Oryzias latipes: one gene and its partner. The protein of the gene in region 1 binds, or shares a complex with, the protein of each later gene. Links are inferred from orthologs where the notes say so. Each region holds a gene or a part of one and is shown in the gene's direction. Other genes may lie near its edges.

Region 1 (3,500 bases):
TTTTCCATGACAGGAGAAGGAGTATTAAAAATGAAACATCATTAAAAAAAAAAAAACGCAATTTGAGTTATAGGAAAGAGTAATTCTTTGTGTATCCTGCTGTAGTTTCATCATGACTCAACGTTTGTTAGCAAAACTTGTTTGCTAACTAGACCAACGGTAAAACCCGAAACACTGGTATGGTCTAAAAACAGTTAGACAAACAATTCGAAAAACCTTTCACTAAGCTGTGCAGCCGCCTGCAGTATCTAAAGAATCAACACAGCAAATTTTCCCTAAACTAAATAAAGATAAAGCTCAGTGATTTGTTATAAATCACACTTCCAGTCTCTCTGGAGTTTTCCAATGAAATTGGAGAATGTTGAATGGTGCAGATTTTTTTGTTTTTTTAATTGTATTAAATTGCACTATTCCTATAGCTTTACAAAAACCTCTTGAGATGTGTATTTTAATCTTTTAACATCTTTAGACCCAAGCTAATATTTGAGCTAACCTTTTACAGATGTAGTCATTTAAACTGGTTAAGCAGAATTAAATACTGTGGTAATCTAACCTAAAATGTGACGTCCCTGCATGTGGACACCAGGTCTTGAGAGGATTAGCATCAGCAGCAGATCTGTCGTTGAATATTGCTGTGGATTTTGCTTTGTGGGAATGTACAGCTGTGACGTGTCAGGCGAACTCTCTGCAGTGAGCGGGGTCAAAAGTGAGCCGAGCGAGGTCCGATGCGACTACTTGGAGGCCGTGTCACCGGAGAGGCCTGCCGATGAGGCCTACTCAGACGCCGAACAAGAAGAGGCGGAGGACGAGGAAGAAGAGGAGGAGCAAGAAGAGGAAGAAGACACACGGACAGAGGGGAGCGCTCCAGAGGAAGAAGAGGAAGAGGAGGATGAAGAAGATGAGGGTGAGGACGAGGAAGAGGAGATGGAGGAAGGTAGGGTGTTGTTACATGAGAGTGGGATAGCCCACAATCCCAAATGGACACTCAGCCCGAAGCTGAACCCCTCGATGCCACAAAGTCTGCTCTACTTTTCAATGTTGATGCCACAGGAGGGAGGGGGGAGGCTGTAGGAACAGGGTCCATTTGGGACTGAGTAACGGCACGAGTGTTTGCACAGACATGCTGCATCTGTCTGCAACTGCTTGATGCTGCACTCGGTGAAACTCTGAAGGCTTTCAATGAACTTTTATGTGCCACCATATGGAGGGTCCTAACGCCTTCTCACAGCTGTGACTGACTGCGCTGAAGTCATATCATGCATGCCTAACTAACTCCGCATGCTTGGCTTAAAACTGCCATGAAAGAAAAGGTTTGTGGGTCAATAGTTAGTTACAGGGATTTGGGAGCTGTCTTTTACTTCCTCATGTGAACTAATTTTTCCTCACTCATGTATTAAGTTTTTAAGCATTTTTTTGGTCAAACTTTCTTTCTATTGAATAAAATTTGTGAAATCTCTGTACTTTCAGGTGATGATGGTTATGAGCAGATTTCCAGTGATGAAGATGACCTGGATAATGGAAGCTTCAAGCTGCCCACCTTTGACATGGACTACACTCCTGAGGATCTAGCCTCTGTGCCACCTGTCCAATATGATCCGTACGAGCGAGAACTTAGGCCGCTTGCTTACTTCACTCCACCATACAAGACTCATTTTGAGATCCAGTTTGAGAAGGCCAGCACAGAGGAACCCAGAGATGCTGGTGGAACAGAAGGAGGAGCAGGTGGAGAGGAGGCGGAGGCTGTTGCTCATCTAAAAGAACTACTGGCCGATATTGGCGAGGACAGAGATGCTCGCTGGGTCACTGCTCTGGAAGAAGCACCTGGACTACTCAACAAAGGGCTGGCTTATTTAATTAAACAAGAACAAGGAGATGCTGAGGAGCCTCTGAAAGCTTTAGTCCAGTGGGCTCTCCAAGCTTTAGATTTGGAGATTGCTCTCACCCAACCCATTGCCCTGAATCTCAGACAGTTAAAAGCAGGTGCGAAGCTGGTATCCTGCCTGGCAGGGTGTCCGCACGGCCTCACCATATTGCTGCGGGAAGGCACCCTGAAAGTGCTGCTGGAGCTGCTCCATGCAGACCACGTGTCCTCCACACTGAAGCTGAGTATCCTGAGAACTTTAGATGGTCTCATCAGCTGTCCTGCTGGGGTGGAGGCCTTCCTGCACGCAGGGGATTCAGAAAAGAGCGGCTATCAGGTTAGCAACACACTGCAGATAGCTTTTAAGTTTTGTTTCTCATCATTTTTTTGTTTCTCATTTACACAGTCGTATATTAATTAAGTTTCAAACAGATATTTTAAGATTTTGCTAAAGTTAGAAAACTCAAACATACTCAAATATATATTAGTAATTCAGAGTAACGTTGTTTTAAAGATCTCAGACAGGCAGCTGTAAAACTGAAGAAGCTACTCGAATGAACAGCAAAACGTCCCCTGATGAGCCTTTAAAGTCCACTCAGAAGTCATGGGATAACTCTGCAAGAGTCTTCCCAGGTGTATTAGGAAATTTTAACAATCTGTCGTCGCTCTGATGTGCTTCACAGCGTCTAGTCCAGCTGTTCTTGCGTGAGGAAACAGTTCGGGTCATAACAGCTGGCAATGCCGTGTTGCAAAAAAGCCACGTGTACGAGGTGCTCGTCGACCTGCAACAGTCAGCAGCAGCTTGGAGTGAAACTCAACAGGTGCCAGCACTCATTCACACCACTCGTTTATGCACATTTAGTGCCCTCTCTTCTTTTGTAGTCATTGTGCAGGGTTATATCTTTCAGGAGGACATGGAAGATGCTGAATGCCCTATGGAAGAGGAAACTCCGCTGGGCTCCTCCCCTGTGAGCGAGGCTGAGCTTGATAGGATAGCAGGCGTTCTGGAGGAGCTTCATCACCTGCTGGAATCTGCTTCTCACTCCATGGTTCAACCGCCTGGGAAAGCTTTCCCAACTTCTGCCAGAATAACAGGACCACCAGAGAGGGATAACCCATACCCAACACTGTATAGGTACAAAGCTGACCACAAAATCTGCACTGCAACGCTTCTGACTCTTGTTTGAAGTAGTTGATTACAGTCATTTTTTTCTTCCCTGTCAGGTACATGCATGCCTGTCATTTCCTGGAAAGCACAACATTGGTTTTGTCAGCGGCTGCTGTAGCAGGTCATGTTGGTGTCACTCAGGCCGTTAAAGAGCTCCTACGCTTCCTGTCACTCACCCAGTCAGGCCTACTTTTCCTTCTTGCCCAGCCATCTCCAACCAACCTGCTGCTGCGTCTCCTGGCATCTGTGGCAGAATCAGAAGGAGAGGACAGCACAGGAGGGGAAGGGGCCCTCACAGGGCCAGGGTTTGGGGAGGAGGGGTTTTGCATGTGGCTGATGCAGGCGCTGCATTCTCTGCAAGGTGTGTCAGAACTTATGAGCCACGTGGCCGCTGGAGGAGAAGGTGGCGCAGGACTCGATGAAGGAGACAATTCAGAAGTTCTCGGCATGCTTCACGCACTTTACCTGATG
Region 2 (3,980 bases), on another chromosome or scaffold:
TTTTATGTATTTCTTTAACTTTATTGTTTATTCAAAATGTATCTGGCAGTAACCATGCTTTTTTTCCAATTGATATAATTTAAAATATGGTTCCAATAAATTTCTCCTTTAGGTGTTATGCTTCTTTTTTCGCTAAAAGTATTATGTGTTTGTTGTTGCAATTTTTTGATTGAAAATATCAATACCATTAAGTGTTAAAGGAGGGTGTATTTCAGATTCCTCGTGATATTTAAGGTTAGAAGTCAGTAGTTGAATTACTCCTGAGACAAGAGCTTTCATTACACTCTTGAATTCTTTGCTTGTTACTGGAAAACACATTTTATTGAAGAACCTGTCATAATCGATGGCTGCCATTCTCATCAAAAAGATCAAATTTTTGATGGTTATATCATCATTGTTCCAAGTTATACTTTTGTTTGGTGAGAAATAATGTGCATAGCATAACGTCCAGGCACGACAAAACTTGCAGATACAAATTTTAAAGATTGACAGGAGTCTTTCTGATATTTACATTTAAAAAGAAATTGAAGACCCCCGATTTTATTATAAAATATTAAATGGGATAAAGTACCAAATTGATTTTGAGTCTTAAAGGCCTTTTTGAATCCAGTAACCATTAAATGTATAATTCAAATCTGAGAAATGTAGGAGTTCATAACCTCCTTTGCATGAGGGGGCATAAAATAGTTCTTTCTGAAGATAGTGACGTCTATTTTTCCATACAAAGTTAACTAAGAGGTTGTTTATTTCTTTGGAAGTTGAACAGAAGTAAAGATAAGGATAGATTAGGAGAAATTTCTCTTGAGATACCTTTCGCTTTAGCCAAGAGGATCCCGCCAAAAATAGATAGATCTATTTGAAGCCACATATTCATGACATCTTGCATTTTTTCTAATTCTCAAGGAGAAGTTTTGTGTTTGTCTAGATTTTCTGTCCATTGTTATACTGGTGCCTAAATATGTAACTACATTTTTAACAGGGATACCATGTTTTTCTTTAACCATTTTAACCTTTGTGCTATCCTAGGCACTTTAACATTGGGAGTTGGGTCATCTAGACCCACTAGACAGTGCTCTGAACCTTTTTTCTTCAATGATTTGTGATCTTCACTGGTGTCCATGGATTACATGAAATCTTTCCACCTTTATCCACCTTTGTCATGGTAGGAAGAACACGTCAATGCAAGGGTGGGGTCATAGGTTAGCACGAGGGTTAACTTTTTAATAATATTTGACATTTAACTAAACTAAGACGTAATCTCTATTGACGTAATCCAGAAGCGTTTGAAAAATAATTAATTATACTTGTATCAAGGTCAATGTGGTTTCTGTCTATTAAGAATAATGCAGTATCATCTGCTTGCTGTGTTATTTTGATTTCCTTTGAAAAATGGATAAACCTAATAAACAAGGACAATTTGGTATGCAGGAGTTTTCAAATCAAAACGTGCAACGTGCTTGCGTCACTACAGGCTCCGCCCTCCTTTGGGAACGCGCACATTCCTATTGTCCAAGATGGCGGCGCTGGTGCAGCTCTTGTGATGCTGACATGTTTTTAAAGGCTTCTCCTCTTTTCCCCGTAAATGTGTGACCACTCGGAGCCCGCTCTGGAAGCGCCCCCTAACCGAAGCAGCCTGCGCCGCCGCCGTCTCCGAGCTAACGCTCCCGGAATCCGCAGCAGCGCCGGATCTCCGCTGCAGGCTCGGAAAAAAAGTTGAAACTCTCCATCATTATTGGAAAATGAAGCGGCAGGCCGTGAGAGACGGCAGCCCATCCAGGGCCCTAGCCAAGCGGATTCGAGAGAGAGAACGGGAGAGCGCCCGCAGAGAGGAGCTGCCGCCGCCGCCGCCGCTGGCTCTGCTGCTGGCGGAGAGCCGGAGCTACCACCGGCGGAGCCGCAGCAGGGAGCGGGAGAAGCCGCGCCTTCGGGAGGAGCGCGCGGCCGCGCTGGAGCTCCACCACCGACACGAGCTCAGCCTCCTGGGCCGGCCGCCGCTGCGGGCCGCGGAGCTCCCCGCCGCGAGACCCGGCACGCTGGAGTACAAAACGCTGCTCATCAGCAACCTGGGCTCGCAGGTGTCGGACGAGGACGTCGAGGACGCGCTGTTCCACGAATTCAAAAAGTTCGGGGACGTGAGCGTGAAGCTGTCGCACACGCCGGAGCTCGGCCGCATCGCCTACGTCAATTTCAGACAGCCGGAGGACGCCAAGGAGGCCCGGCACGCCAAGTCCTCCCGGCTGGCTCTGGGTGATAGACAGCTCAAAATAGAGCCCATGTACGTTAGGAGGCGGAGCGTCACCCCCCCGGACGTCAGCTATCTACCTTTACACGCCCCCTATCCGTACAGACAGCGCTCCTTGTCCCCACCCGGGACCGGCGTGAGCAGCATGCGGGACCTCCGGGCCAGACACTTTGCGCTGGAGAGCCTGGGTCTGAGCAGAGACCGGGAAAGGCTGCTGGACTATTATGGTATGCTGGATGAGAGGGGGCGGCCCTACGCGTTCCCCCCCATGCCTGTAGTGGAGGACCTGAAGCCCGAGGATGACCAGAGGGCCACCAGCAACCTGTTCATCGGAAACCTGGACGGGAATGTGACGGAGGCTGAACTCAGGAGAGGGTTTGATAAATACGGCATCATTGAGGACGTGGTCATCAAACGGCCAGCACGCGGCCAGGGCGGGGCTTATGCCTTTGTAAAGTTTCAGAACCTTGACATGGCCCACAGGGCCAAAGTGGCCATGCAGGGCCGTCTTATTGGTGGAAACCCAATTAAAATCGGATACGGCAAAGCCAACCCCACCACCCGACTGTGGGTGGGCGGTCTGGGACCAGGAAACTCGCTGACCGCTCTGGCGCGGGAATTTGACCGCTTTGGAAGCATTAGGAACATTGACTATGTGAAGGGCGACAGCTTTGCTTACATCCAGTATGAAAGTTTGGATGCAGCCCAGGCCGCCTGTACCCAGATGAGGGGCTTTCCTCTGGGCGGGCCAGAGCGCCGCCTCAGGGTGGACTTTGCTAAAGTGGAGGAGAGCCCCTCCCGCCCATTTCCCCCTGGTTACCAGCTTCCTGTGCCTCCCCCCACGCATTATGACCTCCTTGGAGAGGCCTACAGTCGCCATCGCAGCCTGGAGCGCGAGCTGAGAGGAACCAGGGAGCGCTCCTCACCGCCCTCCCACAGCCTCCTCTCTTTGAGAGAGAGGGTCCTGCTGGAGAGAGAGTTTCCCAGCAGCCCCACCCGAAGCCTGGACAGGAGGGTGGGAGGAGTGGAGGCGTTTGGAAGAGCTGGCCGAGGGGCGAGGAGCCGCAGCAGGAGCAGGGAACGCTGGCTGAAGGAGAGGGAGGAGAGGAGGAGCCGCAGGAGAAGCAGAAGTCTGTCTGTCGACAAGCAGTCGGAGGAAAAGGAGAAAGAAAAGGGAAGGTCGAGGGTTCGAGTTCCGGGAGGCACCGCCTCCCCTGATGCAAGCCCAGACCGAGCACGGGTTCGAGCCCCGGACTCCACCACTGAGCCAAGAGACCACTCCCCTGACAGTGGTGGAGGGGGGCGACACGCAAATGCCACAGAGGAAGAGCCCCCATCCAGCCGTCACCACAGCAAGAGGTCCGCGAGCGTCAACAACCACCATCGAAACAGCGACGTGGCCGCCGCCAGCCCCCCCGCTGCCCACACGGACACCTCGTCCACCCTGAGCTCGCTGTCGGAGTACGCCCAGGGCTCCCTCACCAAGGTGTGGCAGGGCTTCTTTGCCTTGAAGAACAGCAGCTTCCCCACGGAGCTGTACATGCTGGAGGGAGGGGCCTCCTTCCTGAGCGGCGTTTTGAAGGACAGCCTGAATCTGCAGAACCGGAACCAGCCAAGCCAGTTGAAAATTGCCCAGCGCCTGCGCATGGACCAGACCCGGCTGGACGAGGTGTCGCGCCGCATCAAGCTCGGCCGCCCTGACGGCTTTGCCATCCTGCTGGCTCTGCAGGGCGCCATC

Evidence for each region. Proteins that work in one complex are often made in the same cells at the same time.
Region 2: virma (region 1) and rbm15b share a complex: the UniProt entries of both Homo sapiens proteins name them as parts of the WMM complex. The link is inferred for Oryzias latipes from reciprocal best matches to the Homo sapiens genes VIRMA and RBM15B.

Annotation. Positions count from the first base shown.
Region 1 is NC_019874.2:17,767,021-17,770,520, reverse strand, and holds part of virma (protein virilizer homolog), read left to right. Parts: intron 1-691; coding exon 692-934; intron 935-1,467; coding exon 1,468-2,198; intron 2,199-2,544; coding exon 2,545-2,682; intron 2,683-2,769; coding exon 2,770-2,996; intron 2,997-3,085; coding exon 3,086-3,500. UniProt on the Homo sapiens protein: Associated component of the WMM complex, a complex that mediates N6-methyladenosine (m6A) methylation of RNAs, a modification that plays a role in the efficiency of mRNA splicing and RNA processing.
Region 2 is NC_019863.2:6,227,526-6,231,505, forward strand, and holds the start of rbm15b (putative RNA-binding protein 15B), read left to right. Parts: upstream 1-1,180; 5' UTR 1,181-1,739; coding exon 1,740-3,980. UniProt on the Homo sapiens protein: RNA-binding protein that acts as a key regulator of N6-methyladenosine (m6A) methylation of RNAs, thereby regulating different processes, such as alternative splicing of mRNAs and X chromosome inactivation mediated by Xist RNA.